Arabidopsis thaliana: one gene and its partners. The protein of the gene in region 2 interacts with the protein of the main gene of each other region in a pairwise test. Each region holds a gene or a part of one and is shown on either strand. Other genes may lie near its edges.

The links.
Region 1: the proteins of SCRM2 (region 2) and SPCH interact in a two-hybrid assay, tested with the Arabidopsis thaliana proteins (one study listed by BioGRID).
Region 3: the proteins of SCRM2 (region 2) and JAZ4 interact in a two-hybrid assay, tested with the Arabidopsis thaliana proteins (one study listed by BioGRID).
Region 4: the proteins of SCRM2 (region 2) and MUTE interact in a two-hybrid assay, tested with the Arabidopsis thaliana proteins (one study listed by BioGRID).

The regions. Positions count from the first base shown.
Region 1 is NC_003076.8:21,584,565-21,592,552, forward strand, and holds SPCH (basic helix-loop-helix (bHLH) DNA-binding superfamily protein), read right to left. Parts: upstream 4,692-7,988; 5' UTR 4,378-4,691; coding exon 3,979-4,377; intron 3,666-3,978; coding exon 3,036-3,665; coding exon of another isoform or gene 3,009-3,035; exon of another isoform or gene 2,654-3,008; intron 2,108-2,653; coding exon 2,042-2,107; 3' UTR 1,655-2,041; downstream 1-1,654. UniProt on the Arabidopsis thaliana protein: Transcription factor acting as an integration node for stomata and brassinosteroid (BR) signaling pathways to control stomatal initiation and development. Activates transcription when in the presence of SCRM/ICE1.
Region 2 is NC_003070.9:4,380,904-4,388,039, reverse strand, and holds SCRM2 (basic helix-loop-helix (bHLH) DNA-binding superfamily protein), read right to left. Parts: upstream 3,737-7,136; 5' UTR 3,283-3,736; coding exon 2,398-3,282; coding exon of another isoform or gene 2,317-2,397; coding exon 2,104-2,316; intron 2,022-2,103; coding exon 1,851-2,021; coding exon of another isoform or gene 1,842-1,850; exon of another isoform or gene 1,732-1,841; coding exon 1,648-1,731; 3' UTR 1,389-1,647; downstream 1-1,388. Other genes in the region: AT1G12870 (F-box and associated interaction domains-containing protein), read left to right, coding at 1-72, 804-911; AT1G12855 (F-box family protein), read right to left, coding at 4,429-5,817; AT1G12850 (Phosphoglycerate mutase family protein), read left to right, coding at 6,463-7,035. UniProt on the Arabidopsis thaliana protein: Mediates stomatal differentiation in the epidermis probably by controlling successive roles of SPCH, MUTE, and FAMA. Functions as a dimer with SPCH during stomatal initiation.
Region 3 is NC_003070.9:17,928,534-17,936,521, reverse strand, and holds JAZ4 (jasmonate-zim-domain protein 4), read right to left. Parts: upstream 5,133-7,988; 5' UTR 4,865-5,132; coding exon 4,789-4,864; intron 3,923-4,788; exon of another isoform or gene 3,543-3,922; coding exon 3,370-3,542; intron 3,249-3,369; coding exon 3,085-3,248; intron 2,991-3,084; coding exon 2,906-2,990; intron 2,704-2,905; coding exon 2,436-2,703; intron 2,335-2,435; coding exon 2,274-2,334; coding exon of another isoform or gene 2,267-2,273; exon of another isoform or gene 2,195-2,266; coding exon 2,089-2,194; 3' UTR 1,860-2,088; downstream 1-1,859. Other genes in the region: AT1G48510 (Surfeit locus 1 cytochrome c oxidase biogenesis protein), read right to left, coding at 1-87, 184-470, 561-753, 996-1,225, 1,312-1,403, 1,489-1,633; AT1G48490 (Protein kinase superfamily protein), read left to right, coding at 7,925-7,988. UniProt on the Arabidopsis thaliana protein: Repressor of jasmonate responses. Interacts with and suppresses RHD6 and RSL1 transcription factor activities to negatively regulate jasmonate-stimulated root hair development.
Region 4 is NC_003074.8:1,843,253-1,849,975, reverse strand, and holds MUTE (basic helix-loop-helix (bHLH) DNA-binding superfamily protein), read right to left. Parts: upstream 3,535-6,723; 5' UTR 3,446-3,534; coding exon 3,350-3,445; intron 2,827-3,349; coding exon 2,407-2,826; intron 2,053-2,406; coding exon 1,960-2,052; 3' UTR 1,717-1,959; downstream 1-1,716. Other genes in the region: MKP2 (MAPK phosphatase 2), read right to left, coding at 5,399-5,555, 5,919-6,039, 6,123-6,258, 6,370-6,459. UniProt on the Arabidopsis thaliana protein: Transcription factor. Together with FMA and SPCH, regulates the stomata formation. Required for the differentiation of stomatal guard cells, by promoting successive asymmetric cell divisions and the formation of guard mother cells.

The DNA of each region.
Region 1 (7,988 bases), on a different chromosome or scaffold from region 2:
TTTATAGTTTAATTTTATATATAGTAACATTTTATATTTTATATTCTCTAATATATTTTATATTCTCTAATACATCAGTAATTAGAAAGTAAAAAAAATTGTGTATTAGATTTAGTCCTTTGAAAGAACTTATCAAGAGGAAACTGATCATTTGTGCAAAAATGGTTGGGTAATATTTTAACTAATGACAATAATTTTAAATAGTAAAAAAAAAAAAAGAAATACTCCATTAGTTATAGTTGACTAGTATATTTTGAAGAAACTACTTAAAAAAATTATTACAGAATTAATGACATAATGTATCTATACTTTAAAAAAAATGTAACTAAAATAAAAACCCCGATCCAATTCTAACCAAAAGTTATGAACACTTATTTTCACAATCACTTAAATATTAGGTGTTACATGCTTGCACTAGCTATATATATGTAGGACTATGAAGTATGAAGTATGAACTTAATTTTTCTATAAACGTTTTAAGAAATAAAGAATCTATATATAGTATTGCCTTTCATACAAAAAATTATCAGTTTGAAAACTTTCTACCAACACGATAAAAAGTACTATATGAGATCATCCTAAACGTCTATTTAAAAAACGTGATTCTCATTGGTAAACGACTAATGAACGGACGGTTTGCGTCTAAAACTAACTTTTCATGGACAGGATTTAACGGATAGAATTTTCCATTATATGATTTTCATGATTACGAACCAAACGATTCAATTCTTCAGCTATATGTCGTTTCACATAAACTCACAAATCACAATCTTAGTTAAAGCTTTTAGGCCCAATAGTGTCCCAATTATTTTAGCCCATTATTTAACAAGGTACGACAGATTATCAACGTCACTCGACCAATACAAGTAAAGGTAAAACTATGGGCCGATAAAAAATGCCCAATTTCAGTTTTTACAGCCCAGTTGTAAGTTCACCAGTAGTGGATACACTGCGTTAGGACTATCCATTTCAGAGAATGTATTGATAATTCGGATATCTACAAAGTGACGGAAAAAAAAAAAAAATCGGATATCTACAAACTACAATTTGAATAGCTAGGGATATTCACCACCATCAGTTTTGGGGTTTGGTTGATCTCTAAACCAGCCACACGAAGTTTCACAGTCAAAAGTTTTAAACCCAACAATATGTTGATGTTGAACATGGATGATTCGATGTTGCATCTAAATGTTGAGATTGGATGCAACATCTACAAAAAAATATGAGCATGGCTATAATTTTATTATAAGCTTAGTTTGTGTAAAATCCGAATTTATTGTGGTTTAAGTTGCATATTCCAAATTAGTTTGTGCACAGACTTGCCTTGCATAGTTGCATAACAACAATTAAACATTTTCTCACATCCCAAACATGATGTAAAATATGATTCTACTGATAAAATGTGAAACGAGACATTTAAATTAGTTCTTACACAAATATATATATATATACAATATAAATGTGTATATATTTACATAATTCTTTTTTTGAGACAAAATAATCCATACTTTCACCCAAAAAGAACATCTTTTAAGAGTTTATAAAAGGTACAATCATTTTAGTTTTTTTTTTTTTTTAACATCCACTCTTTTGATTTTCAGAACATTTGCTGCGGCATGTAGAATCATTCTTTCTATTTACAAAAAAATATATCCCTTAACATTTTGTGTTGCAAGAAGAATATTATTCATGAGATCACTCATACACTATTGTTCATTCATATGCAATTACAGCTACAATGCTTGATGTAATGACAGAAATAAAATTACATGGTAGGAGTACGTCTAAATTCTAAAATTTAAAAGAAAGTAAACATGACGATGGCTGTTATGAAGCTGATAATCTTTAAAACTCACTTATACCTATATTAGTTATAATTAATCAATATTTGATTAAAACTTTAGATAACAATTTTATTTTTTTAAACTCCATATCTTTGCAGAAAACTGAAAAGATAATTAAAGGGATACTAAGGAGAGAAAGTGAGTACGTACTGCTCTCTCGTTAAGGTTTATACGAAGCTATATTAAATCCTTCTTTACTAGCAGAATGTTTGCTGAATTTGTTGAGCCAGTTCTTCTGCACTTAGTTGGCACTCAATTCCAATCTATCAAAAGAAAAAAAGATAGAGAAGTATACATTGATAATTGTTCTTTAACAAAAAAAAAAAAGATGATATGAAAAAAAATATAATTTATACAAAAATAAGTGTTTTCAATTAATTTCATTCTGAGTAGCTCTATATTTCTCGAGGCACTAAACTCCCAACGAAAAAGAAACAAATTTAACTATTATTAAAAAAAAAAAAGATCTGTTCTCGTCTCAACATAATCACCTATTCTAAGGAACTTAATTACCAAATATCTATACTTGCGAGACATAGTTAATAGTATCCCTACTTGATCTCTGATCTTGTTTTTTTCGATAATCAAATCATCAATACTAAAACATCCATTGTAGAAATTCTTCATTGAACAAATTTAAGTACTTATCAAAAATAGAAACTAAGTCTTGACACTTATAAACTTCAGCAGCTTGATCTATTTGAATAATTTCCAAATATATAGAATAATTCCTTTCGAATTTAAAATTGAAGATTTTGGGGGCTCTTCAATGTTCACGTATAATTTATATAATATTTAAACACGTGTTCTTTCACACCGTTTTTTTTAAGAAAGTCAAATGTATAAATTAGAGAAGAGTTTTAGTAAAAGTAGTATAAAACAACGAACAGTTTAGTTTTGTATGTTTGTGAGGAATCTGACATACACATACCCTACGTTTTATATAATGATATATATATCTATCTATATATATATAATGTAGATTAGAATCATACATTAAATTTCATATATATCGAAAGTGTGTATGAGTTTATGTGAATCTCAATGAATTATTACTTATTACACTACCCTACCCATTTCTTCCCCCACCATATATCCTATGTAAGAAAATAAATGTATGAATTACACTTATGAATAGAGACAAAAAAAACAAGTCAGTGAAAATTAATTAGGATGATTATTCGTACGTACCTTGATGGTGAAAGAATTAAGCATGGTTTCGTCGACGGTGTTAATATTAACCTGAAGAATCTCAAGAGCCAAATCTTCAAGAGCAGCAATTATCTTCATAACTTGTCCCGGGATCTTATGCGACACCGTTTTGAGCAGCACGTTAGCTCCTGAAAACTTCACTTCCACATCAGCCAAAGCCGATTTTGAGTTAGCAACAAGCTCATTGATCACACTACTCTCATGGTTACTACTAACTGAAGGAGATGAAGAAGATGAAGCAGGAGAGTATGGAGGTGGATCTCCTAAGCTGCTGCAACTGGCCAATGAGCTGTAAGAGCGAAGCGGAGGCTGTGGGATGAGTGGTAGTTGCGGTGGAATGGCCCGGTATGGGCTTGTTGGCTGAGGTGTTCGAGGACTTATGGGAGGGAGAAGTAGGTGGTGGTGAATCTGGTGGTGGTTGATGCGCGGGCTAAGAGGCGGTTTTCTTGGGCTTAGAACAGGCGGTGAAGGACGAGGGCTCGGGACAACTCTCGGGCTTAGGACTTCGGCGTAGGTTTTACGTTGTTTCTTGGCTTCCAAAGATTGGAGAACTTGTTGTAACTCGCTTATGTACTCCACAACTCCTCCTATGATCGATGCTTGGTCCCCCTTTTTTTAATAGGTTGGTTTAAGAGGAAATAAAGAAAATATAAGTCAATATGAACATTCTATATATCTCATTGTGACATGAAAGAAAGAAAAGAAAAAGAGATGATTAGTGGGACCAAAATGTCATTATAATTGTCATTATTCCTAAAAAAACATAGATATGCATGATACTTTTGATGTTACTAAGAAATGATATATGAATATGATAGTTAGGTATACCAAAAAGATTAGTTGAACGAATAGTATTAATTAGTCGGGCACTACCAGAAACTCACATACTGACTAGTAAAATCTATGGATGTATTGAATATACCCGTTTGACGTAGAAACAAGGCATAAGAGAACGCAAAACGGTTAAGTGCTCGTTCATTTGCTTTCTCCGGTTACGTTCCACGGTTACATGAGACATCTTTTGTTGCCCATCTTGCTTATTATCTTCTTCTGCTTCTCCGTCTCCGTCTTCTTCTTCTTCGTCCTCTTCTTTCCTGGTTTCTAGTCTTTGCTTTTTCCTCTTAGGAGATGAGTTTTCATAATCTTGATCCTTAACTAACTCCTTGGAACTTGTGGTTCCATCTTTAGGTGTAGATGCAGCTGTCGGAGATATCTCTCCGGCACCTTCAAGACTCTCTAAGATGGCAAATAGATCATCTCCGGCTAGTGAAGTGTCGACAAATTCACACTCTTCAAGAAAATCCGGTATTATCTCCTGCATCGTGATTAGAGATATATCCTTCTCTCTCTCTCTTCCTCGTTCGTTGTTTTGTCTTATGGTTGGATTTTTTTTTTAAACAGCAAAATAAAAGAAAGATTTAGGGAAAGAAAGAGACGCCAAAAGACATATCAAGTTGAGAAAGAGAAATAAAGAGAGTGAATGCCAAAAGGAGTAAATATGAGGGACTCGCATTCATCGAGGACTAAACTATCGCTATCAAATTTCAATTTTTATTATTATATTTTGATAGGGTTATTTATTATGCGGTTTGTGCCGTTGGATGAAATTTGGGGGAGGATCTAGGTTTTTCGTGTCTCATTTATGTTTTAGATATAAATATGCATCTACATATATATATATGGTACGTCTTATTGTATACTTTATATTACAGAGATAAAGGTTGCATATTGCAAAGGGAAAGATACATAAATTCCTTAGGAAAAGATTTTTATGGGGGTAAAATTTTGAATAATCACAAGCTCGGTATAATTGTTTTTTGTACACACAAACATGTAATACACATAAACACGGACATGTACGTTCTTTGTATTTAATTTACGTATATGTTCGGGTTGCGAATATGGTCCGACCAATCCCGGTTTCCAAGTATATATATATACAAAAAAACAAACAAAAAAAAAACATTTGAAATTAGTGAGTTCACATTTATTTTAGCGCCTCAATCGTGAGACAATCAATTGAATGATGTGTTGTACATTCACATTATAGATCATTCATTATTCAAAAAATAAAAAGATACATATTTAGAGACTTTTTATGATTGATAGACCAATTTCAGACATGTTATCGCCAGTCGATTTAAAAATACAGATTTTCACTTAAAGCATATACTTTGGCCTTTGTTTATGTCATGGTGTAATCTAACCAACATTTAAGCCCAAAAAGAAGAACAAAATTCGATTCCACAATTCTGAAAGAAAATCCGTTCCTTCTTCTTTCCCGAGCCATACATACAATTTAATTAATTCAATTTAGTAATGTTAGTTCAGTTCAACTGGATCCCTAACATATTTCATAAACACCTGATGAGATGGCATAAGAATTCAATTTCTTATAAAACCAACCCAAAATAGAATATGAATTTAGCAATATTAGTAAGCATTATTAATAAGATGGGATATAATGTGTATATATATATATATATATCACCTCTTTTGTAAGTTAATCTTTATATTGATACAGGGAGCAAACGAATTTGTTTTCAAGAAAACAAAAGACAAGGGATAGATCTAAGGCAATAAATAGTTGATGTCATACTAGACGTGCCTCATTTTGTCTCATCAAAATCAAATTGCATCTTGAGGAGCCACCCTTCATTTGAACTTTCCCTTTCAAAAGTTTTTGAAATATTTGTACATAAATATAAATATTGCTTGACATTTTCTTTTTTGATAATCCATTCAAATGTTTTAGAAAATAAACGAAAATTTAAGAAGATGGAGCCAAGACAAACCAGGTAGTCGTTAGGTTTGAAGTTAATGAGTTGGCTGTCAGATATTATTTACCTGACCATGTCTTTTTAGTAACGGGTCTCTTCTCCTTTATGCTTTGTTTCTAGCCCAAATTAATGAAACATCAGCAATTAGAAAAAACTATGTTTTTCTTAATGCAATGCTTATATAATGATGAAAATTACTTTTAATTACATGTTCTTATGTGACACATTCCAAACTGATCTTCTTCTTTTTTGTCAAACACCAAACTGATCTTAAAACAAAATAGATTTTAAGAATCCCAATTCAATTTTCGATTTTAACCAACCCGGACAAACTTATTACACTGTACAAAATAAACAAGATATTTGTCAGTGATTTTGATTTAGCGGACATAGTAATGTAACTAAAGTTTAATTATTCATGCATGCAGGATATTAATTTGATATGACTCGGATCCAAGGTATTATTCAATTTCATATATATACGGATATATAGATACCCTTTTATGGAGACTATGACATGTTTTCAATTTTCGTACAGTTTTGTCTTGCTCTATTTATTTCGCAAATCAAAATCTACATTTCTATAACACTGTTGCCCGTTACATTACTACAACAACAAAAAAGAGATTGACATAAATTCATTTTATTTATATGACATAACAAAACGTTGATTATATTCTTCCTGCAGTCTCGATTAAGAAGTCGTGTCATGAGTTGGTTCCGATGATTACTAATCAAAAACAAACAAACAAAAACTCGACAGACTAAAAGAATGAATATATGACTACTCTGAAATTTATTGCCTTTTTATAATAACAATAATAATTGACTTTTGAAGCAATTATTCAGAGAAAAAAACTGAGAATGAGAAAGTTGCAAGTTGCGCAGAAATCAAAATCTGCAAGTTGAGCAGAAAGATCAGTACTTCGGAAACAAATATAATAAAGATGGTGGGCGGCTTTCAATGACCGGACACGCCTTCTCCGTGCCCGAGATTCTACAATTCTTCATTCATCCACATGCATCATGTATATGTATGTGAAATCATGGATGCATGTATGATGGAGTATAAGCATATATATACACAACATCTCCTTATCGCAGTGATGATCTTGTTTCGGTTTTGGTTTTGTAAAACGTTTATAGGATATACTTTCAAATTTATTTTTAAATTATAGTTGGATATTTTAGTTGGGGATTCTAGATGGTCACGGTGGTGAAGTTATGAACTATTAGCATGTACTGATGTACATATATCCGATTATCGTGAGACCACGACATGCTTTTGACAGATGAATCTCTTTTTAAACGTAGCACCAACTCAAGCTCGGTTCCTAAGATTTAAATCCTGTGTAGATCTCAATATGGCTTCCAAAATTACTCGCACTCGATTTTTGGATCACACAATTTATAGTACTTCCTTCTATTTTGATTCATAGTTGTTTTTTCTAGGAACATATAGATTAAGAAATAACATAAATTATACTTCTTTTGTTTTGATGTATAAGATGCTTTAGATAAAAATGGAGATCAAGAAATGACATAAATTTTAGATTTTTGTTACATTAAAAACTATATAATATATAAGTAAAAGTAATTTAATCAATAATAAAATACTTTGCACAATACAAATGATCATAACACATCAAGTTAAATAAAGTTTTACATTATTTTTTATTTGTTGATTTCTAAAACATTTTATAAAATGGAATAATTTAAGCTCTCTTTCTCTCTTTTTTTCTATGTAATCTAGGCATCTAGCTATCATCAAACCCAATAAGTGGTCGCAGTAGAATAGAATTTAAATTCCATATGGTCGAGAATTAAGATTTCTGTTAGTGTGATCGTCGTCACTTACTCATTCGATAATTCATTGAAGAGATACAAATTAGGAGATAAGTTTGAGGTTTTGCTAAAAGTAATACACTGTTTTTTATATACAAGAAAGAAGCTAAACACTTCCGTTTCGCGTAAACAATTTTTTTCCTTCTCTTTTGTTAGCAAGGATGTAACGGTCTTTGGCAATGTAGTCTTTCTAGATATATCCAACACTACCAAATTCAGATTTTTTTTTTTACTCTTGAAAAACTTAATAAAATTTTATCGCCGTAAATTATTCATTCTCCAATGTAGCACTAGACTCGAATTAATT
Region 2 (7,136 bases):
GAGTCATCCACACCGGTGGCGATATACAAGGACAAGAAGATCATACTCTCACATCGCTATACCTGCAATCTGGTAAATTCCCAAACAGGATCTCTTTGCTCATTTTTCAGACAATTTTTGTGTTTAAGATCTGTTCCTTATTTTCCAAGTTTGATTTCTCATATTTAAATAAAATACTACTAATTATTTTGATGCGTTTTGAAGCATGAAAGAAAGAACTCATTGTATTTTTTACCGATTATGTGTGTTTTTATTTTTGCTTCCATTATACGTTTGTTGTTATTTAGAATGAACGAGGCTACACTTATATATCTTTTAGACATCAAAATCAAGACAAAGTTCAAAAAGCCTACTCATCATATCCAAAGATTCAAAATTTGCCTAGCAATTGCTCTTCTTGAGCTCATTGCAGAAAGTCAATGACATTAAGTTGATTACATATTTGAAATCTCTCTTTTGTTGGATCATATTATCACCTCATGTTTTTGGACATGTTGATTATCCAACAATGAACATGATTAAAATCATTAACCATCAGATATTCTTAAGGTGTTGCAAATGCATCAAGAAAAGCTTTGCTCATGAATTATGATTTCTCACTTCCCTATCTAGTAAACGACGTTGTAGAGGAAATCTTCTTGAGACTTCCTGTGAAATCACTAATTCGACTAAAGTCTCTCTCAAAACAATAGAGATGGATGCAAATTATACAAATAAGTGTGGTTTTATAATTCTAATGCGTCTCATTCTGATGCCACGAGTCCAAACGAAGGACTTACCAAGTGTGAGGTTTTTGATTTTAGGGTAAACGCTTGGAGGTACTTGAATTGCACGCCAAGTTATCGAATATACCATGCCCAAAAGCCAGCATCTGTAAACGGGACGCTTTATTGGTTCACAGAGCTATATAATGCTGAAATCAAAGTAATAGTTTTCGATATCATTACAGAAAAATTCCGGTTGCTGCCAAAGATAGTTCCCGCTATTGCTAGTTTAGATCCTAGCCATATATACACTCTGGATAATGCTTTGTGCATGTCGAAAAGAGAAGGAGATAAGCTGATCCAAAATATTTGGAGGCTGAAGAAATCATCAGAAGACACATGGGAGAAGATTTATACCATAGATTTTCTTTTAATTCTTACCAATTAGCCAAGTTTATCTGGTTCCATTATGTTTTTGTCTTTAACATCTTCAGTCGCCCACGGCACAAACCAAATCTTACTAAACTGAACCAAGCTCAGACATTTATAAAGAATATGAATTTTACATAGAGATTCATCTCTGTTCTGAAAAATTGATATATCAGAGCGTTTGCCTATGAATTGTGCATTTCTTAATATTTTGTTTAGCCTTTTCTCATGACAGACTCATGTGTGTTTTATCAATGAAAATCAACATTGCTCTCTTCTTGCAAACAACATATAAATGAAAAGCAAAGTAGAATTATTGAGAAACAATGGCATTTTGCTCAAAGGTTGCAACTATTGTTCCCCAAACACATGTTCTCATAGCTAAAATAAAACAGTTATCATCTTCCATACATGATTGAAATTGATGAAACTAAGTAAGAAAATTGCTGACTAAAACAGAACAAGGACTTAGATCTAGCTCTGTTCCACACAGATGCTTCCTTCTGCTTCGCAATCAAACCAAACCAGCGTAACCTGCTGTATCTAAAAGCACTGCTTTGATTTGTTCAGGTAACACGTCATGGTCTTCTTGACATTGCTGATTAGAAACACAAAACATGTTGTTACTTGTATACTAATCATTCTCTCAAATAACTATTCTTTGACTGCTAGTTTTACTAATCAGTGATCAGCATAGCATCTTAACAACTATATTACCTCAGCGCGGAAAACATCCAAAGCAAAACCATTGAAACAGCTAATCACCGCTTGTTGAACATCCAATCCTAAGTTATCCAAAGCTCTCATGGTGGAAAGTAAAAGACCTGGTCTACGTCCACAGAACATGTGTATGTTCACTGCCTTTCCTTCTCTTAATCTAACCTCAACCTATATCAAAACAAAGAAGCGTTACTAAGAAAATTAAAGAATACAGCTTTGTCCACTAGAAAGCAATTGAGCTTATTCTTACTCTTGGTTGTTGGCCTTTAGGACTTGGCAAGGAGGAAGATGGACACAACTCTTCCTTAACACGGTAAGACAGCGTTTGTGGAGTCGGTGTTAACGGATGCAAGCTTGAAGAACTCGGTGGAGTAGATTCAAGTTCGGTGTGAAGATCGTTGATTCTTTGTAAAAGCTCTTTGAGGTAATCAATAGCATCTCCAAGTATTGATGCTCTATCCATCTACATTTGCAACCCAAAATTAGTGACACAAGAAGTTATTAAGGAGAACAAAGAGAAAAAAGGAAGAATCTTTTTGGTTACTTTGCTGATCTTGGGAACAACTGATCTAAGCATGTAAAGCCTATCATTAAGCTTCTTCCTTCTTCTTCTCTCAGCCATAAGATTCTTTGCAGGCATTCCTTTCTTCTTACCTTTGTTGTTATTAGTATTATGGTCATCAGATTCGTAATTCAATCCAGAGATATCGATGATTCCGGTACTAGTATCGTCAATCTCTCTCTCGTAGCTCGATTTCCTCATTTCAGAAGAACTCTCAGAATTGCACATTTTGCTACTCGAGCTCTGACGCATTGCAGCTCGTTTCTGAAACAGAGTTGGCTGCGAGCCAGATGAAGCCATTACCTGTAACGGTTTTAAAACCTTTGCTCTGTTTGAGAACAGAGGACTCAATCCACATGATCCTGAGCTGTTTTCCGGAGCTGGAAGAAAATCCGGTACTGAGTGGTTTAAGCCAGTGAAATTCATCGAGTTCGGAGATTGATGATTTCCATGGAATTGTTGTCCTAAGAAACCAGAGTCAAAGCCGAAGTCATCGAAAGTGTTGTTATTGATGGTTGGGACGTTGAGAAGAGAAACTATACAAGCTTTCGTAGCTAAGAAAGACTGTTCCTGTTGTTGTTGTTGTTGTTGTTGTTGCTGTGAAGCAGCGTCGAGTGTGAAAGGATGTAATAACGGAGAAGAAGAAGAAGAAGAATCAATCGATTGCTGAAGAAGAAGAAGCAGATTCTCTGAGGGGTTTAAAGGAAAGCCACCATTGAATCTGAAGTCGTTTTGATTAGTGTGTTGTGGTGGTGGTGGGTTATTGAACCAGTCTTCATCTGGGTTTCTGACCCAAGACGCAGCTTCACCGTTATTAACTTCCGGAGATTCACCGGAGCCGTCAAGCCAAACACCGTCGCTGTTCATGTCAAACTAGTAGAGAGAGAGAGAGAGTGGGAAAAGTTTCGAATTTTGGAGAGAAGTAGAAATGGAACCTCAAAAGGAGACAAGGCGAGAGAAACGTAGATAATATAGAGAGAGATTTTTCTTGAAAGGAGGCGTACGTTATAAAGTGGAATCACGAGGATCTTATGAAGAAGAAAAAAGTGAGAAATCTGAAGAAGAAAGATAGAGAGATTTCAGAGCTCGAAAACCCTAAAAAGTTGAGATTTTTGGGGATTTCAATGTTGTCAAGGCCACCATTTATTTACTCTGTTTGGTTTCTTGGTCTATCTTGGTTTAAGAGTTGGTGTTGATTCTCGTGACTATTGTTTTTGCTTTCCGTCTCTCACCTCCACTTCATCTTTGCCACCTCTCTCTCATTTTTTTTTGTCTGCAGAATTATTTCAGTGATAGAGCTTAGGAAGATGATTTAGTTAAAGCTAAATCCGACCGTTAATAATCAAAATAAGTATACAGTTCAGTTTGGTTGAAAAACTTAATAATGTGGGATTTGGTTGGCAATCATAAAAATTGTCACCGTAAAATAAACAAATTTTGAAAAGAAAAATTGTAGTTTTTTTCTATATTTGAAGTATTTGGGACTAAAGAATTTTAATCTCTCAAAACTTTGTGATGTGTGTCATAGACTCATATTAATTGTAGCGGCAAACTTGTGTTTAGATTGTTACATAGATTGGCTATTAATCAAATTTTTTTTGACATGAATAACAAAAGTATATTGAATAAAAAAAAATCTTGCAACAAAGTATATTGAATAAACATTTCAAGATTAATACGGATAAAAGATGTCGGATGCAATGGTCCCTTTTTTTTAACAACGAGGCAATGGTCCCTTTAAGATAAAATCTATATTTCATCTTCCTTTTACATCCACACACAGAATGAAACTGATTTTTGTGTGGATTAACGAAAATACTCGTCCTCATTTTTTTGAAAAATCTGTATCATTTCATAAAGTAGTATGATTTTTGGTAAGTATAGTGTCATTTGGCGAAATAAGTATGGTTTATTATGATTTATGAATAACAGCATGCTATCGGATAATATAACAATCCAAACAATTAATGCTTTGTTTCTTACATTACATGCTTCCAAATACATCAAAGCATTTTATATATGAGAGATCAAACTCTGAAAATAAGAAGCATATCTTCTACACAAAGGAGGTTGGTAAATTAAACTGATAGATTTTATTTGGGGATCGTATTTGATCATATTGCGGGCATAGCGATGTGAGAGCAGAATCTTCTTGTCCTTGCATATCGCCACTGGTGTGGATGGCTCAACCAAATCTTTTCGTGTCCAATTAAATCCATCGCGGAACTCAGATAAAGAAGAAGAAGAACAAGAAAGCAAATCTATGGTATAAACCTTCTCCCATGAGTCTTCTGATGATTTTAACCTCCATATCTCTTGGACCAACGTATCCGATTCTCTTTTCGACATGCACAAACCATTATCCAAAGTGCACATGTCGATATGGTCAGGATCTGAACTAGCAATGGCCGGATTAATCTTAGGTAGCACACGAAACGTTTCAGTGTGAATATCGAGAGCTACCACTTTTATTTCGCCATTATATGGTTCCGTGAACCAATAAATAGACCCGTTTGTAGCTGCTGGTACTTGGTCAGGGAATATCCGATAGCTTGGAGTGCAAGTCAAGTACCTCCAAGCGTTTGCCCTAAAATCAAAAACCTCGCACTTTGTAACTCCCAGGTTTGGATTCGAGGCATCAGAATTATACAACCACACTAATTTGTAATCATTGGCCTTCACGAATGCTGTATAACAGACTACTGGTTTTATGTCAATCCAAGTGTCTTGAGTGGGGTATAACTTTTGCATCAAAATCTGAAACCTAGCCGGAGGAAGTTGTCGAAACCACCGAGTGGCCGGGTTAACTACATATATGGCTTGTGTTTTTAGGGAATGGATGCAGAAAAGTCCGTCACAGCTTTCAGAAGCATAGATCCGGTGTTGAAATCCTTGAGGGAAAGTGATAAGAGTGGAGGACAGAATAGAAGCCGATTCCAAACAGATTGTACTAAAACCAATGTCTGTATCTGGACGAGGCTGATTACCTTTACTTCCTTTCAAGGAATATTCTTCAGACATGACCATGACCTGTGGAAAATCCACGCGTGATCGCTCGACGATCTTCAAGTGTCTCTCTTCAAAACTGCGAGACTCGATCGTCGATCTCCATTGTTTTGAGAGAGACTTTAGTTGGATTATTGCTTTCACCGGAAGTCGTAAGAAGATTTCCTCTACAACATCGTTTGGTAGTGATGATGGTGCAAACACTGCCTTCTCGTTTCCTCTTCCTCTAGGTATTCTTCTTCTCTTTCGTTGTGATAATGATGCAATCAATCGCTTCCCGTTTCCTCTATTTTTAATTACTCTTCTTCTATTTCTTTGTGATGCAATCGCTTGTTTTTCTTTTTTCATAGTTGATTTCTTCTCTTTTGATATGAATGAATCCTCTCTACTCTCCATCCCACTTTTATAAATACTAGATTTTTTTATTAGGAGATTTAGGGGATTACGAGATCGACTTGAAAGTAAAATTCATATTGTAAAATATATTCTTGTTATTAAATAGGTAGATTTAGTATTATCATAAATCTAAAGAACTTGCTTGCTATGCAAGTAACATTCTTGTATAAATAAGCTTATTGGCTAATTAATATAATTGAGAGAAACTATTTCACATATCTGCACTATGTGTGAAATAAAAAAATATTAAGTAATTTTTATATATAATCAATATTGAAGGTATTCAATTTTATATTATTAATTAGATAATCAGTTTGTATTAATGACTATCAAGATTAGTAAATATATATTTATGTTTATCGTGATTTATGATATATATATTTTGTATATTAATAGATACAAAATATTAGATACTTCATTTTGAATAGATTTGTATTTCTTAGTTGCATACATTTTAATTGAATTTTCGTTTTAATAATTAAGTAGTAAAAAACATAAATTATGGTTTGGGCCGGGTCGTTAAGATTCTGAACCCTCTAACTGACCTGGAGGTTTCACACCCATCATCAGATCTGAAAAATTTCTAACTAAGTCTTTCGCGTTAAGCTCCGACACTGCATTTTCCGAGTACTCAAGAGAAAGGCGATGGGGTCATCACAGTCTTCGCAATTACTCGATGAAGAAGAAGAAGAAGAAGATGAAGCAGAGAGCGAAGGTGAAGAAGTAGAAGAAGAAGAAGATGAAGCAGAGAGCGAATTGAATAACAGAAGAATCGAGCTGGATAATCTCTTGGTCAAGAAAGTTCTCGAGCAAGAGCCTGAGATGCTTCCTTGTCACGCCTCTGCTTCTCCACTCTCTCCTCAGCTCTCTTCTCTTGGAACTCCTCGAATCGGACCTTCCATTAAAGTCTGGGATCCTTACAACGTCCTCGCGCCACCTCCTCCTTCTTCTCCGCCTCTTTTCTCTCGTATCTCCTCCGCCGCGGAACACGATCGCTCCGCCGTGACGGAAGTCTATTTCATCAGCCACGGCGAGTGTGATCTCAATCTCAGGCCTGATCTGATTGGAGGTAGATGCCACGTGGCTACTCTCACACCCAACGGGAAACGTCAGGCGAGAGCTCTAGCCGTATTTTTAAACTCTGAAGGTGTTCGATTCACCTCCGTCTTCTCTTCGCCTCTGGATCGAGCTAGATCCATGGCTGTTTCTGTTTGCCAGGTACAGTCTCTACTCTTCGATTTCTCAATTCTAGATCTAAGGCTGTGAAATTGGAATCCAATTCTTCAAAATTAGGTATTAGTATAGTAGCTAGGAAGCTC
Region 3 (7,988 bases), about 14 Mb from region 2:
GGCTCTACACCAATAGGATCAGATTTTGTTAATCTTCGCATTAAAATCGAAGACGCCTTAATAAAGCAAGTCAGGGAACTCCAGTGCCTGCATATAGAAACAATCAGGCACACTACCATAAACAAACAAACAAAAACAACCAGTTACTAGTGCAATAAGTTCGATGTTATGTTTGTTAATTACCACAAAACTGTGTACAAGTGATAGTCCAGTGGTATATCCTTACTACGAGTCAAGTTCTCAACGTCTCTTGGAACTGGATAAGTTCTACTTTCATCCATATCTGTGTACGTACTCTCTATATACATTGTGTCCTCACCAAACCCCATGGCTAGAGCTAGTTTAGGAACGTCAAGGTAGAACCACGCAAGCGAACTTGGATAATTTACTAGAGTATATATGCCTGGAGTTTCACTTTTCCTAACTACACCCACCACTTCCACATGCATAGCCCTAGAGACTTGGTCCTGCTAAAAAATATTCCAATAACACTTAACTATGATATCAAATCATGCAATGAATGATTGAGTACTCATTAAGTTTATGAAATGAAGACCAACCTCAACAATCATTGGGTTGTTCAACTTGTACCAGAACTTCGACAAGAGACTTTGTTGAGAGGAGAGAAGTTTATTAGCTTTTCTTGACTCTTTTGCAGCAGCAACAAGACCACCAGTACCTAGAGATTCTAGAGAATTTTCTTTCCAATCCGAAGGAACCCATCCGCGATTTACTAGAATAGGGGACTTCATACTAGTGACAAAAGGAAGAAGAAAAAGATAGTTAGACCATGTTTGTTTGTTTGTTTGTTTTGGTGCATTTGTATGCAACCTTATTTGTAAGAGACACAAAATTTGCAAGTATTTGCATCTAGTCTAGATGTTGCATCCAAACACTTAAATATACAAGAAAAAAGATATTTGCATCAAGATGGTATATATGGAGATCAAAAAGACTTTAGTTTGGTTTGCGCATATAGAGAGTAAATCCCTGACCTATTAGGTTCATTAGGGATTGGCAAAAGAGGTGTAATGACATAAAAGCCAATTTCAGAACTTTTAGACATGGATCTAGGCTTTGGACCCACATAGATCGATCTTTGCTCATCGAAAATGCCTTTGCATACCACCCGTCGAAATCCTAACCCATCCAAATCTTTCGTTGTATTCAGCTTCATTGGTTTCATTTCCAAGCATTGTTTTCTAGAATCAAGATGTTCCTTGTACTTGAAACAAAAGAGTTTGAACAAATTCTTTAGCAGATCAAAGAACAACACGTATAATTAAAATGTATATAATGAAAATCACAGACCACTTGTGTTTGTAGGAACTTATACGTCTCACCGAGACCATAAGTAGTGAATCCAACTAAGTACCATAACAACGCTGACCCTCTTTTCTTCTCTGCAAAACATTTTTACACAAAGATTCAGAACCAAGATTCAGAACTTAATCACAAATTAGACGAGAGAGAGCATGTGCAAGATACTTGCGGGTGGTGGAGCTGAAGAAAGCAATTGGCTCTCAAGATTGGAAGTTTGTGAAGCAGCAGGGAGATTGCTAGTAGTAGAAGAAGACATGTACTGACTTTGAGAAATCAACCTCTTAAATATCTTGGAAACGAGTTTTGTCATCTTTTTCTCCTCCAGGATCTTCTCTTTGTCTCATCCAAGATTCTTGATCTACTATATATGGCGACGACGACGAGGACTGATTAAGTATATAAACTAATGTTTTATTTTCTGATATAGCACATGGCACCAACTAATTAAATGACTTTCATCTGCTGGTGGAAATATTTTATATCAATTATCGAAAAAAAAGTATAAACATAAAGTTGACTTCAACAAAATCTAGAAGAGCTTGAATAGTCTTACTTTTATGTTTTTTATACACATGCAAGAGTAAAGACAAAACATACAGTATCCAAATTAAATTTATAGGATATATATAAATAACTTGCTTTTACAAGCCCAGTGTACTAAAATCTGAATAAACAAAAGCTATAACAACTATACTATAGTCTATAGGATACAGAGCCAGAGAAAAAAGAAAAAGCCTTTAGAACAATGAGGGGTCTAAATTGGTTTTAGTGCAGATGATGAGCTGGAGGACAGCTTACACATTCAGACATCAGTGTTCTACAGTCTATTGATGACTTGTTGTCTACGTAATAAGGTGATACGTTAATGACCCTGCAAGAAAACGAAGCCAATATACAGCAAACCTGTGTTTTGATATTGTGAATAAGTGAATAATCTTGTAGCTCAGTACCTTTCTTTGCGTTTCTCTAAGAACCGAGCCAAGGATGCTTTGCGTGTTTGTGGTAAACCCACTGTATTAAATCATAGCAAGATTTTTTGGTTATAACAAACTAAACCTAAGATAGAAGTTTGATGACAAAACATTAATAGGAGTTAAGACTTCATTTATAACCTGTTGGAGCCATAGAGAAGGCAGCAGTTTGGTTGTTGCGCGTGGATGCTAAACTCGCCTTTGTTTTTGTTGGTCCAAGTCCAGTAACCCCGTTGGATCCACTACTTCTGGTTTCAGAGACAATGTAAGAGATGGAAGGCAGGAAACTAGGAGGCATAGTTGGAGGATCAGTGGTTGGAAGAGAGTGATGAACCAGTTTTTGAGGTTTAGGTTGTGAAACCGGTTTAGCATGAGGTCCATTTCCGGCTAGCAACATGATAGCTTGGGCCTATGAATACAAAATAAATGAAGAAGTAAGGACAAAGATTTATCATATCTATGAATCATTAACATACTGTATGTTGAAACCAGGTTAGTAACTTTCTATAACTTCAGCATGTCTATACGTGAAACTTATTTCTTTGATTGAATACTTAGTCAGTGGATAGCTTGGACTGTAATGTAACACATATTGAAGGAAATTTGGTTACCTTTTCAGGAGCTATGTCTTGGTAAACTAATACTGAACCGGCATAAAAGATTGTCAACTGAGGGGGAAGTGGTTTTGAAGAAGATCTGGAGATGAACATAAAGGAGCTCGAGTCAACTATAGAAGTAAAGAGGTTCTGTATCTGATGTTAAACAGAAGAAGATAGAATGCAGTGCATGCCTAATAGTGGTTGGAGCAGGAAATACTGAAACTGGAGGTGCCATGATAGGAGATCCTCCTAAATGTTGGTGGTTTATGAAACTGTTGATGTAGTTTGGTTCGGACATGGAGACTGTGATGGTTGTTTGGTCTTGCTGACTGGAACCTGGGAACACTCTGTCTTCCTGAGATCATTTTGTATCAATTTTGAGACCAGAAGAAACTAAACCAATTGCCAAGCTTTCTTACAAGGTCACTAAATCACACTTTATCACTACTTTTTTTCTTTTCAAGAAATAGCCTAACCTGTAGTGAGCTGAAGTAAGTTCTCTGGTTTTGATCCATTGCAGCAGAAGAAAGCAAATGATCATTGACTGTGTTTACACGCGTTTCTTGTTGGGATGTCCCAAAAGAAAGAAACTGAGGACCAGAACCGACTTTGCTTGAGAATGACCAATCCATCATACCTCTACTTGGGGCTGAAACATGAGCAAATGTCTTTAGATTTTATCAAACTAGGAAACACTCAGATCTAGCTATGCTAAAGTGGACGACTCTTAACATTAGATTCATCAACAATGAACAAATCTGCATAAAGCCAAACACACTGGGGAAAATAGTGATCATACAAATACTTTCAAGAAATGGCACGTTTCGGAATATAAAAAGACAAGAACTAACTATTAAATTCCTCGTGGGTAAGTAAATTATTCATCCAAATTGTAACTTGATCTAAATTTAATACCCAACATGATCCTAACTTAATCAATGAGTCTACTTGGATAGAAATAAAACTTAATCAAGTCACAATCAATCTTGCTTTTATATAATTCAACTTGCATTTGTTGTTAAATCTCTAATCGTCAGCCGGTCGCTATATAACGCATTCTTTTCCCAACATTTCACGTCTTCGTTTTTAAATAATACTGATAGAATTCAAGTTGCTTAATAAACCTTAAAAAATGGCATAAACTTTTCAAAAAGAATAACCAGCCAATGTTCTAATTCTCAATATTCAATCCGGCTTTGAAAAAAACAATCTTTTCTAAAGAAGATACTATTGTATTGAAACCAATTGATCAATTTTGTAAGCAACAAAAAAAATATAGCATTTTTGTTCTGTCGGTGTCGGCTGTTTGAAGAAAAAAACGAAATTATTTTGAAAACACTCAACATTACCAACAGCTTTAGAAACATGCATCACCTAGTCACCTAGAAAATCAAGTTTGTTCTCTGAATATTATTTTTCAAAGATAATACTAACACTTGTTAAATTACTAACGTCAACAAGTTTGGTGTTTGCTTGTATAGTTGTATACTTGTACATTTGTAGTTTGCAAAAAATATTTAATGAAAAAAACTTCAAAAGTAGATCGTGAACGTATGAATTTTCTAACTATCGAGTCCCAAAACGTGTTTTTTCATCGGCTACGTCAAACAAATTCGAGTAGCTAAATTTCTGTCTATAGTACTAAAACCTAATTTCTTAAATATATATCAAGAAAAAAGAAACCCTAATTTATTTTTTCTCTTCCCGAGAAAACGAAGAAAAAATTTCTTGTTCAAGAAAAAACCAGACAGTAGGACTCCCAATCAAGCTAGAAAAACAATATATATGTACTTGAACAATAAACAAAAAAAGAGATTACAAAAATAGAAACAAAAAAAAGTGAGATGAAAAACACAATCATCAGATCATAATGGAAGATGTTGAAGATGAATTACCTGAATCTTCGTTAGTTTCCTCCTTCACAGTTATCGGAGATAACTTTGATCCCAGCCCGAGAAAATCTCTCTCCATCAGGCTTATCAATCGTTGAGAATACAAAAACGGTTTAGCTTTCGCGGGGGAGAAAAAAAATGTCACCGGAGAAGAGAAGAAATGAGAGATCAGAGAGAATTAGTAACAATTGAAGGACTTTGGAGAGAAATGAAAAACGTGAGTTGAAGTTACACACACCGCCGATTTATGATTCCTCTAATGATGTATACATATATTTTTTTAATATAAATCATCCGATGCGGTATGTGTATATCCCACGTCTGCTTTCCTGTTCCGGAATAAACTTCCAATATTAGAAATTCAATCATCGGATATAAATATATATATTTATTTTTATTTTGAACAACTTGGATATAAATATATAAATATATAAATATGTCGTTAATATCAAACTTAAAATAATGTTTTACATTATTTATTTTTATATTTAAAGCTGATAAGCATTATAATAAGAACCCTTATTCTCAAGTTAAAAGAGAGCAATTATTTGTAGTGCATTGAGTCATTGACTCATTCATTCTACACAACAAAACATGGTAATAATGTGGTTGAGAAGAGCTTTCACCGTCGTCTCGATCCCTCTTCATACAAAGTTTGAATTCTTGCTTTGGGTCATGCAGTGCCTCATTATTGATTTATCTTTGATTAATGTTTTTTTTAGATAAGAATTAACCTATAGATCGTAGCCATCCCGGATGAATGGCCTTCTTTTTTATAGAGATTGATGGTTTTTCTCGTTTAAAGTTTTTTTTGGTATGCTCATGTCCTTGTTAAAAAGGCTAGATTTCATTTGTTAAAATCTAGCATTTATGCTTCGTATTGGTTCTCCCATACGGAGAACTTCCTCTTTTACTGTTGTTAGATTTCGTTTGTTAATATATCAAAGTATTTTTGTTTTTGGATAAACCCTAAGAGTTCCTAAGAAAGAGGTTATTTTCGGAACTGTAAGAGTTAATAGTCATGAGGTTAAATTACAAGTACATGTACACTGCTGAGCTCCCATGTTCATACCAAGTTCGAGTGTATGGAGCTTACCCTTGGCATTATGAATTTATGAGCAAGCTGCAAAACTTGCCACATAGAACCAGAGCCAGACCAAAAAAATATAAGGCTCCATACGAATTATGGAAAAAACAATTCTTCTTGAGATTATATAAGTCATTACCATATAATATTTTTAAAATTAAAAATTAAAGTTTATAAATATATTCTAATAAGCTGATTTTATATAGGTTCCAGATTTTAAAAAGAAAAAACATAACAAAAAGAGAACGTTGAACACAAGTTTTAGCAAAGTTGTCGATAGAGGGACACAATGAGATATGGTTCCCATACGTTACTCCAAAGTATCCCTTTTTACTTGGTTGGTTGTGAAAAACAGAATTTGAGTAGAGAGACAATGAGAAAGTGGTATGTAATGTAGATTCGAGTTGCATTTTTTGCAATGAACAGGTAGAGAGACGAAGGAACACTTATTTTTCCACTGCGCCTACTCAAAAAAGATATGGGAAGACTTAACAAGGGGAATTCTCTCGGACAGATATTCGGCGAGTTGGACAGAGGTTATGAAAACTTTATCTAAAAACCTTCTATACAAAACGAAGAGCTACATACTTAGGTATGCACTACAGACAGAACTCTATACACTCAATTTGGAATGAACAAAATAGGAGGAGGCATCAGGCATGGGGAGCAATCATCACCGACGGAAATACTTGTGAAGATTATAGACAAGAATCTTAGAAACCGTTTGAGCACAATTCAAGGTAGTGGAGGATTGAAGTTCAAAGATGGCATCCAAGTTTGGTTTAAAACTTTGAATCAAGGCAATAGATAATAGACAATTAGAAGTTCCTTTTCTTTAAAAAAACTCTCAAAACAATTAGCATTTCATATGTAACAAGTTTATTTTTCTTTTTAATATAATTTAACATTAAATTCAAAAAGAAAAAGTTTTAACATATTTTTATTATAAAAATCTGAATTAATTTAGTAAGAAATAAATAAAAATACTTGTTATTCGAAAAATCTGAATTAGTTTAATTAGAAGTAAATAATTACAAAAATTATCTATTAGGTCCATATCAAATAATTTATATAGATATTATCTTCTAACATTAAATATAACTATAACTATTCAAATTTGTATCTAACAATTATTACTTTAGTGGGTGCAAATATATCAAATTCCAGCAGTGTTGAAAATTTGTTAGATTTCTTTATTCATATATAAATAATAATATGCCCAAAAGTTTCTAATATTAATTAAAGCTAAATTTTCGAAAGAAAAAAAAATGTTATTTGACTGCAACGATAATGAAAAATTAAAAATTAGTTGGATTGATTAACTCAATTATAAACAAAAATACGACCGAAATATCTTTTATTAATCAAAAATTCAAAACTATAACTTTTGTACATACATAATAAATTATTACACGATTTAGTATGAACATATAAAATCACAACGATAATTAAAATTAGTTAGATTTATTAATTTAAATATTTAAAATTACGCGCGAAAGGCGAAAGCTTCTATATAATATCAAAAAATTCAAAACTATGTAATTTCTTTCTATTTTTCTCCAAAAATTTAAAACTCTTCAAGTCACAATAAATTCATTTATGATAAAATCTTCAAGAAATTATATTCATAGTCTTATCTTTTTTGTTTTCTTCATTCATAGTCTTATCTACTTTACTCATTTATGCATATAAAATAAGAAAATGCAGTCCTTAGTACTTAATCTTCAGTTTGAAAGTCATTAACGTTTAATCATAGTCAAGTTTCGTCTTTAACAGGTTTGACTATTTGTTTCCCTAATCTTCTTCGTTTTAGGCTTTAATAAAAGATTAGTGTCCCACTTAACAGTTACGTCCGTCGTCTTCTTCGTCCATTCATCGAAAGCTTGGTTTTGAATTTTCTTAAGTTTTTGAAATCGTAACGGAGATTGAAGGTAAGAGACATAGCGAGAAGAGATTTTGCTTTTGAATTGGATATGGCGTTTTGGAATTTTGCCGTAACGTGTTTGTTGTGGTAAGGTTTGAGGTTTGGAAATCTCTCGAGAGAAGTCAAATATGGTGTTCAAGAGCAAACTCTTCTTCTCCTCGAAGAAATCGAGATCTTCTAGTCCCAGTAGCA
Region 4 (6,723 bases), on a different chromosome or scaffold from region 2:
AAAATATTCGTCTCGTTTGATGCGCCGATTAAACAAAGATCGAGGGATGAAGAATCAAATAAAAGGGACACGAATGCAGTCACGAGAATAGATTAAAAAATTGGGATTAAACTAAATAGAAAAGAGGATTTGGAAAGAAAGTGAGATTAATAATGAAAGGCAGTGAGATTTTTGTTTGGTGGGTCAATATGGATAATGGATTGATGTATAATATAATTGAATATTGACAACTCAGAGTGTGCCACATTTCGTGATACCGATCATTTACGTCATACGTTTTTGCACTAATTTTCTTACATATATATAATGTAGTATCTATATATAAAAATTTATGTGTCAATTATTATGTATTGTATATAAATCAAATCAGACGCAAAAAAGAAAAGAAAAAAAGAAGAGATTTTCACAAGTAATATTTAAAAAATCATTTTTTCGTTAAGTAACAATATTCTTTTCGTTTCACAATAAAAATCATTTTGTACTTTTTAAAAAAAATATTTTACAGAAAAAACGGTTCCATATTTTTAACGCAGAAATTTTTGTAAAATTTAGGATTTTTACTTTAAAATTATGTTAAATAAATAAGGTTGGTTTAAACTTGTTTGAGAAATGAATTGCAAACAAGTAAATGTTTTTTTTTTTTCTTAGTAGAATAAGGATTTTATTGATAAAATTTAGAGTCACATGATTACAAAGGCCGACAAGGAAACAATCCTTGTAGAGATTAAAGTCGGCAAGCAAATGAAAACTCCCGAATACAAGATCAAACTAAAGGGGAAAAAACCCAAGCTACAAATACATCATATCTGAACAAATACTTTCCGGACTCATAATCCTGATATTCAAAACCAGAAATACAAAGTGTAAAACAAACATAGAATCAACAGATCTGAGACTAGAAACTCTCACAAAAGGAAACAAAACCAAAATACTCCTTACCACGAACGGCGGTGAAGCAAAATCAGCACCCCGAGACCTAAAGGAAAGCGTCTCATGGAGAAAGGTAGGAAAATTAGATCTTCAATGGTGAGAAAACTAAATCCGAGACGGTGAAGGATCGGAAAAAGTCTGCCTTTGCCATAGATTGAACGGTCAGAAATGGAGCTGTACTTGAAGAAGTATTTTTATATGTACGATATCGTTAAAAAAACAAATTTTACATATGAAGATGTCACAATCGCCAGACATGCATGGTTCTGGAAGCACCACGTGACAAATTGGATAATTAACCAAGAAACAGGTGAGGCCTCACTTCACCAAATCCCCACCTTTTATTATCTTTTCATTTTCTTTTAATTGTTATCACTCCCTTCCCAGCCTTTCGGGCTTTGGTCATTTATATACAATATGTGTATATTTATTTTTATCTACATTTATTATCATAAAGTTTTACAAAAGATAAAAATTACAAAATTATTTCCAAAAAAGTTTACGTCCAGAATGTAGGTACTAGGTAATATATAGTTTTGACTTAGAAAAAAAAAACAAAAAAAAAAGTCAAGGTAATATTTATTTATGAATGTATATAAACCTTGCAATCTTAAAACATGTTTAAAGATTTCTTAAAGCTCTACATATGTAGCGTTGATACACACAATTTTGATCACTAGGCTCCAAATAATATGTCGAGAAAAAAACGAAAAAAATGCTACCAAATAATATAGTGTTACAATTTAAGTATGACTACACACAAACACACATTTACATTCGGATGATTCAGAACTATATTATACTAGTTAATTAGAGCATATAAAATGTCATGATTTATTGTGGGAAATTACAACGTTGATCAACTTCGGATACAACAACAAACTAAGTAAAACATAAGTGTGTTTTTTTAAAAAGAAGGTTTTGTTTAGAGGAGCTTATTTCTAGCAAAGTATCAAGGCTCATGTAACGATTATATGATTATTAATCCCAAAAAACGATACACGCTCTAGTACATGTAGAATTTTGTTTTTAATTGGTAGAGACGATCACTTCATCAGACACAAAGCTTTTCTGAACTTCAAGAGTTAGCTCCTCCAAGCTTAAGTGACACTCCAATCCTATCTGCACATGTAAATTTAATTCCGTCGAATTCAAAACAAAAGACTCATACAAATATTATCTGATCCATATATATATACATTGAGCTTAACTAATAATATTGATATATCTTTTGGTGTAAATTAAAGAAGTACAAATCAAGTTAAATAGTCATAATTTGGTTAAGTAACTAAATCGATGCAAGACATCGGTTTAGCAATAATTGGTGTTTGATCATTCATTAGGAGCATTTTACTTTGTAATAGTTCTATAACACCAAATTCCATCTAATTTCATGATAGATATAATGAGTTTTATCGGTTGTTCAATATATTGACTAACAATGTATTTAATTTGTATGTAGATGAAGATATGTACCTTAACAACGAAAAAGTATAAGACAGTCTCCTCCATGCTACTAATATTGAGGTGAAGAACTTGAAAAGATAGCTTCTCTAAGACAGAGATGATCTTTACGAGCTGCCCCACGATTCGCCTAGAGACAACTCTCAATACAACATTAGAACCTGAAATCTTTGCTTCTACGTTAGCATGAGGGGAGTTACAGCATGCTCCTACTTCCTTGAAAGTACTTGTGGTCATCACATTTTCGATTCGACTAAACGGTACTCGGGTAGTGGCGGCTCCTAAACTGGATGGCTCGATTGTCTGGTGATCATAAGGGAAAGATGGTCGGTTTAGGGTCTTTCGACGTTTCTTGGACTCAAGAACTTGAACCAATTGCTGCAACTCTTTGATGAACTCTATCACTCCTCCGATGATCGAAGCTTGATCTCCCTAATACCGATCAATCATAGAAAACAAGACCACATGATTATTAAACAGATTGGTGCATCCGAGTAGTTTGTTTAAAGAAAGTTACCAAAGAGAAATATACAGTCTATGCATAACATATACAAACAAGGAAGTCTGACAGTGAGAATATAGGATTAACTATATATGTATGCCACAACATTTTGTTTTCTTCCAAAAATAGTAAGTTGGGAAATCCAATATTAGAAAGATTATCATGCATGATCCAATTATAAGTATCTAAGAGATTTTTGGTTCCTGCACAATTTTATCTGGGATCCTATTAAATAAGCAATTTGAGAAGGTTCAATTGTCTGTATAAATAAATTGGAATAAATCTTGAATCAACCTCTACGAAATAACTTCAACAAAAGAAAGCAACGATCATTAAAAAAATACCAATCTCTTCGAGAAAATAATTAGGATTGTGAATTGAGTTCTTTTTTCTATATCATCCAAACTAGCTAATTGACTATGAAGGGATCGAACAGATAAATATGAAATTTACCCTTTTGATGTAGAAACAAGGAGTCAAAGAACGAAGGGATTTAAGATGCTCGTTCATTTGCCTTCTTCGATTCCTTTCAACAGCGATGTGAGACATGATACTTAATTGATCAAGATTCTCTTCTGGAGTTCCTATATTGATCTATCAACGAAGAAGATGATCTTATGTTTTCACTTTGTTCGACACATTCTTCAAAACAAAGTCGTATTTATACAGCCGCAACAACAAGTGATAATTAGGGTTTAGAATTTCTTTTCAAGGTTCATAAATGCACTATGTCGCTGTCTCGTGACATTCTTTTGTCTCTTCTTGATTTTTCTCTTTCTCTCTCTTATTACTATCGATATGTATTAGAACAACGTAAAGAAAAAGGTATGCATACACAAAGATACGTCACGTTTGTGAAGTTGGATACATTTACATTTACATTCACTGCGTGAGGTCTTTTATGAATTTCAATATCGTATTTTCATTTAGAGTGCATGCCTTTGCACCACCTTCTTTTACTTCTAGTTTAATTTCTACACTTGTGCCACTTCTTTGTTCTTAATTACCGCGTGTCCTCACAAGAAAAAATGGATTTCTTTTACTCTTTATTAACAGATAATACACTGATACATACACAAAGTAAAAAAACATTGAATCGGACATATACTGGTGGAAAGGTTTAGTTTGTATTGAGATGTTTTACAGTTTTCATGGATCGATGAAGGAAAATAAGTACATCAAAAGCCGTTTTTTTTGGCGTAACATATGTTTTTTACTACTTACTATTAGCAAACATATTGGGTAGTATCTGATTGGAAATCTACGAAATTTCGAAGTGATGAAATGATTATGTGATTTCGCATGTTTCTATATGACATCGTTTTTGTGTAATTATGTTTCACATCTTCTATCCTATTGACTTTGTAAGATAAATGACAACATTGACAAGTAACAAAATATAAATAGTTACGACATAGTTTGTAGTTGAATTACAACTTTTTGTTTTCCTTAATCACTATGTCATTTAATACCACAAATTTCTCATTCGTGATGATTCCATCATTTTCCTTGATCACTAGTCGGAACCAATTTCCATTGGTTAATGGATAACTTTTTGCATGAAATATAGGTTCTACAAGAAAACATAAATTGATATAACCTTTGGAGCAAAGATAAAGTTCAGTTGTTCAGCTACCTGGACGGCTCATTAAGATTCCTCCCGAGAAGTATTCTTAAATTATATTATTTATTTTTAATAAAGAGATATTCGTAAAATTTCGGCTCTGTTTTGCAAAGTTAACAATATCTCAATTCATATTACAAACTTCATTAAATAAGGTTTAACCTAACCAAAAAAATTGCTATAGTGACAATATTTTTTCTATGAAACAAACCCACTTGGATAACACTTCTATTTGTGGTTTTGTTTGGACAAACGTTTATTTTTATGGTTCATATATGCATATCCACATATACATTATCTCCGAAGTCCCAAAACTGTGGAAGCAGCTGGAATGAAAATGTTGGTGACAAATGTTTGTAGCCGCAAATGTTAGGCTACAATACGTATAAGACATGCAAGGTGCATGCCCCATTTAATTACGAGTAAAGAAATCTAACTCCTACTTCGATATTCAATTTGTTCATGGTCTATCACGTTATATACAATATTGATCGACAAGGCAATGAAACAAGAAAAAAAAAAAAAAAAACTCACGTTCGATCAAGATATCGGTTAACATTCAATGCAAGGGTCGAAAACCAAACCAACCAATTTTCAGTCTGGTTTGGGTATGGGATTGGTTTGGTTAAATTCACACTGATCCTCCTAGAAAATATATTCATTGTAGTAACAGAGGAAATGTAAATTCTGCGTTTTCATTCATTTCAATTGGCTAATGGACATGGCAAAGTGCTCACCATCAATAGTTCACAAGAAAAAATCCTTCACAGCACGAAACCAATCAACTTTTTTGGCCAACATGGGGCTGAAGACACTTGCCGGAATTTCATGAGAGTTCATCATGCCACTATCTTGAATCTTCTTATCAGCTGAAGCAATCATGCATTACCTTGGATGGATTTTTCAAATTGCTGGAGCTGCGAAATGAAACCGGGATTAGGATATGCCTGATGTCGTCGGCTCCTTACAAGTTCCATAGCTTTAGAGAATCCCATTCCATGCTTTTTCATCAGGTAAGCCACCACTATAGTCACACTTCAAAGAAAAACTCAAACCAATCAAATTGTGTAAGTATATATATAACAGAACGACACAATAAGCAAATTACAGGTTCAAGAAAAACTCTTAATTTGTCCACAACAAAATGTAATCTGTTCACTACCATAACTCCTACTAATACCAGAATCAGCAAGCTATAAAAGAATCAAAGCAAACTACAAGATTCATATACACTTTTGCCAATCTGAGTCTCTGTAGTTTCCTATGGTTACTCAGTTGGCAATTTATATACACTTTTTTGATATGGTTACATAATTTGCAATTGGTTCACATTGATGATTCTTAAACACTAAATCTAATAACTGAATGTATGAGATTTAAGGGCAAAAGAATCAAAACCTCCTAGACATTCCCATGAAGCAATGAACCAAAACACCACCACCAGATTGAATAGCTTGGTCGATGAAGCTATAACACTCATCGAAATATACTGTCAAATCGGTCTCGGATCTATCAACCACTACACGATGAAGAACAAGTTTATAAAATCTCTAAACGAAAAATTTCAAAAACAGGCTAAGGATTGAAGAAAAAAAACCCAACCTTCAATGACTTTGTAGACAAAATCATCAGGATAAGGAGGAGCCAAGGCCACAGCAACGGTTAAGACATGAGTGATATTAGAGCTTTTGAGAAAATCCTTGTTATTCGCTTCAGCTACTGATCCTATGAACAATCCCTGAGAATAAACTCATCCAACAAACGATTTTTCGGAATTAAAGACTCCAAAACCTGAGAAATTCCAAGTGTGAAATTAGACGGATAGATAGAGAAGAGAAACGAAGAAAACCTGTTGGATCTCGCTGAGATCTTTGCCTCCTTCGAGTAGCTTCTGGGAATTAGCTTCTCCGACTCCGAAGAGATCAACCACTTTCTCCATCGCTCTCTGCTTCTTTTTTCAAAATTCCACTTGTACAGACGAAAACTCTTAATCAGAAAGATAAATAACCCTAGATTCGTAATTAATATTTAATAGTTTAGTTCGGATAGATGAATCAATAAGCACCAGTGGTCTAGTGGTAGAATAGAACCCTGCCACGGTACAGACCCGGGTTCGATTCCCGGCTGGTGCAACAATTTGTTTGTTTTTTTAAGTGAAAAGATTTAAGAGAGTCAACCTTTTTACACATGAAATGAAGATGAT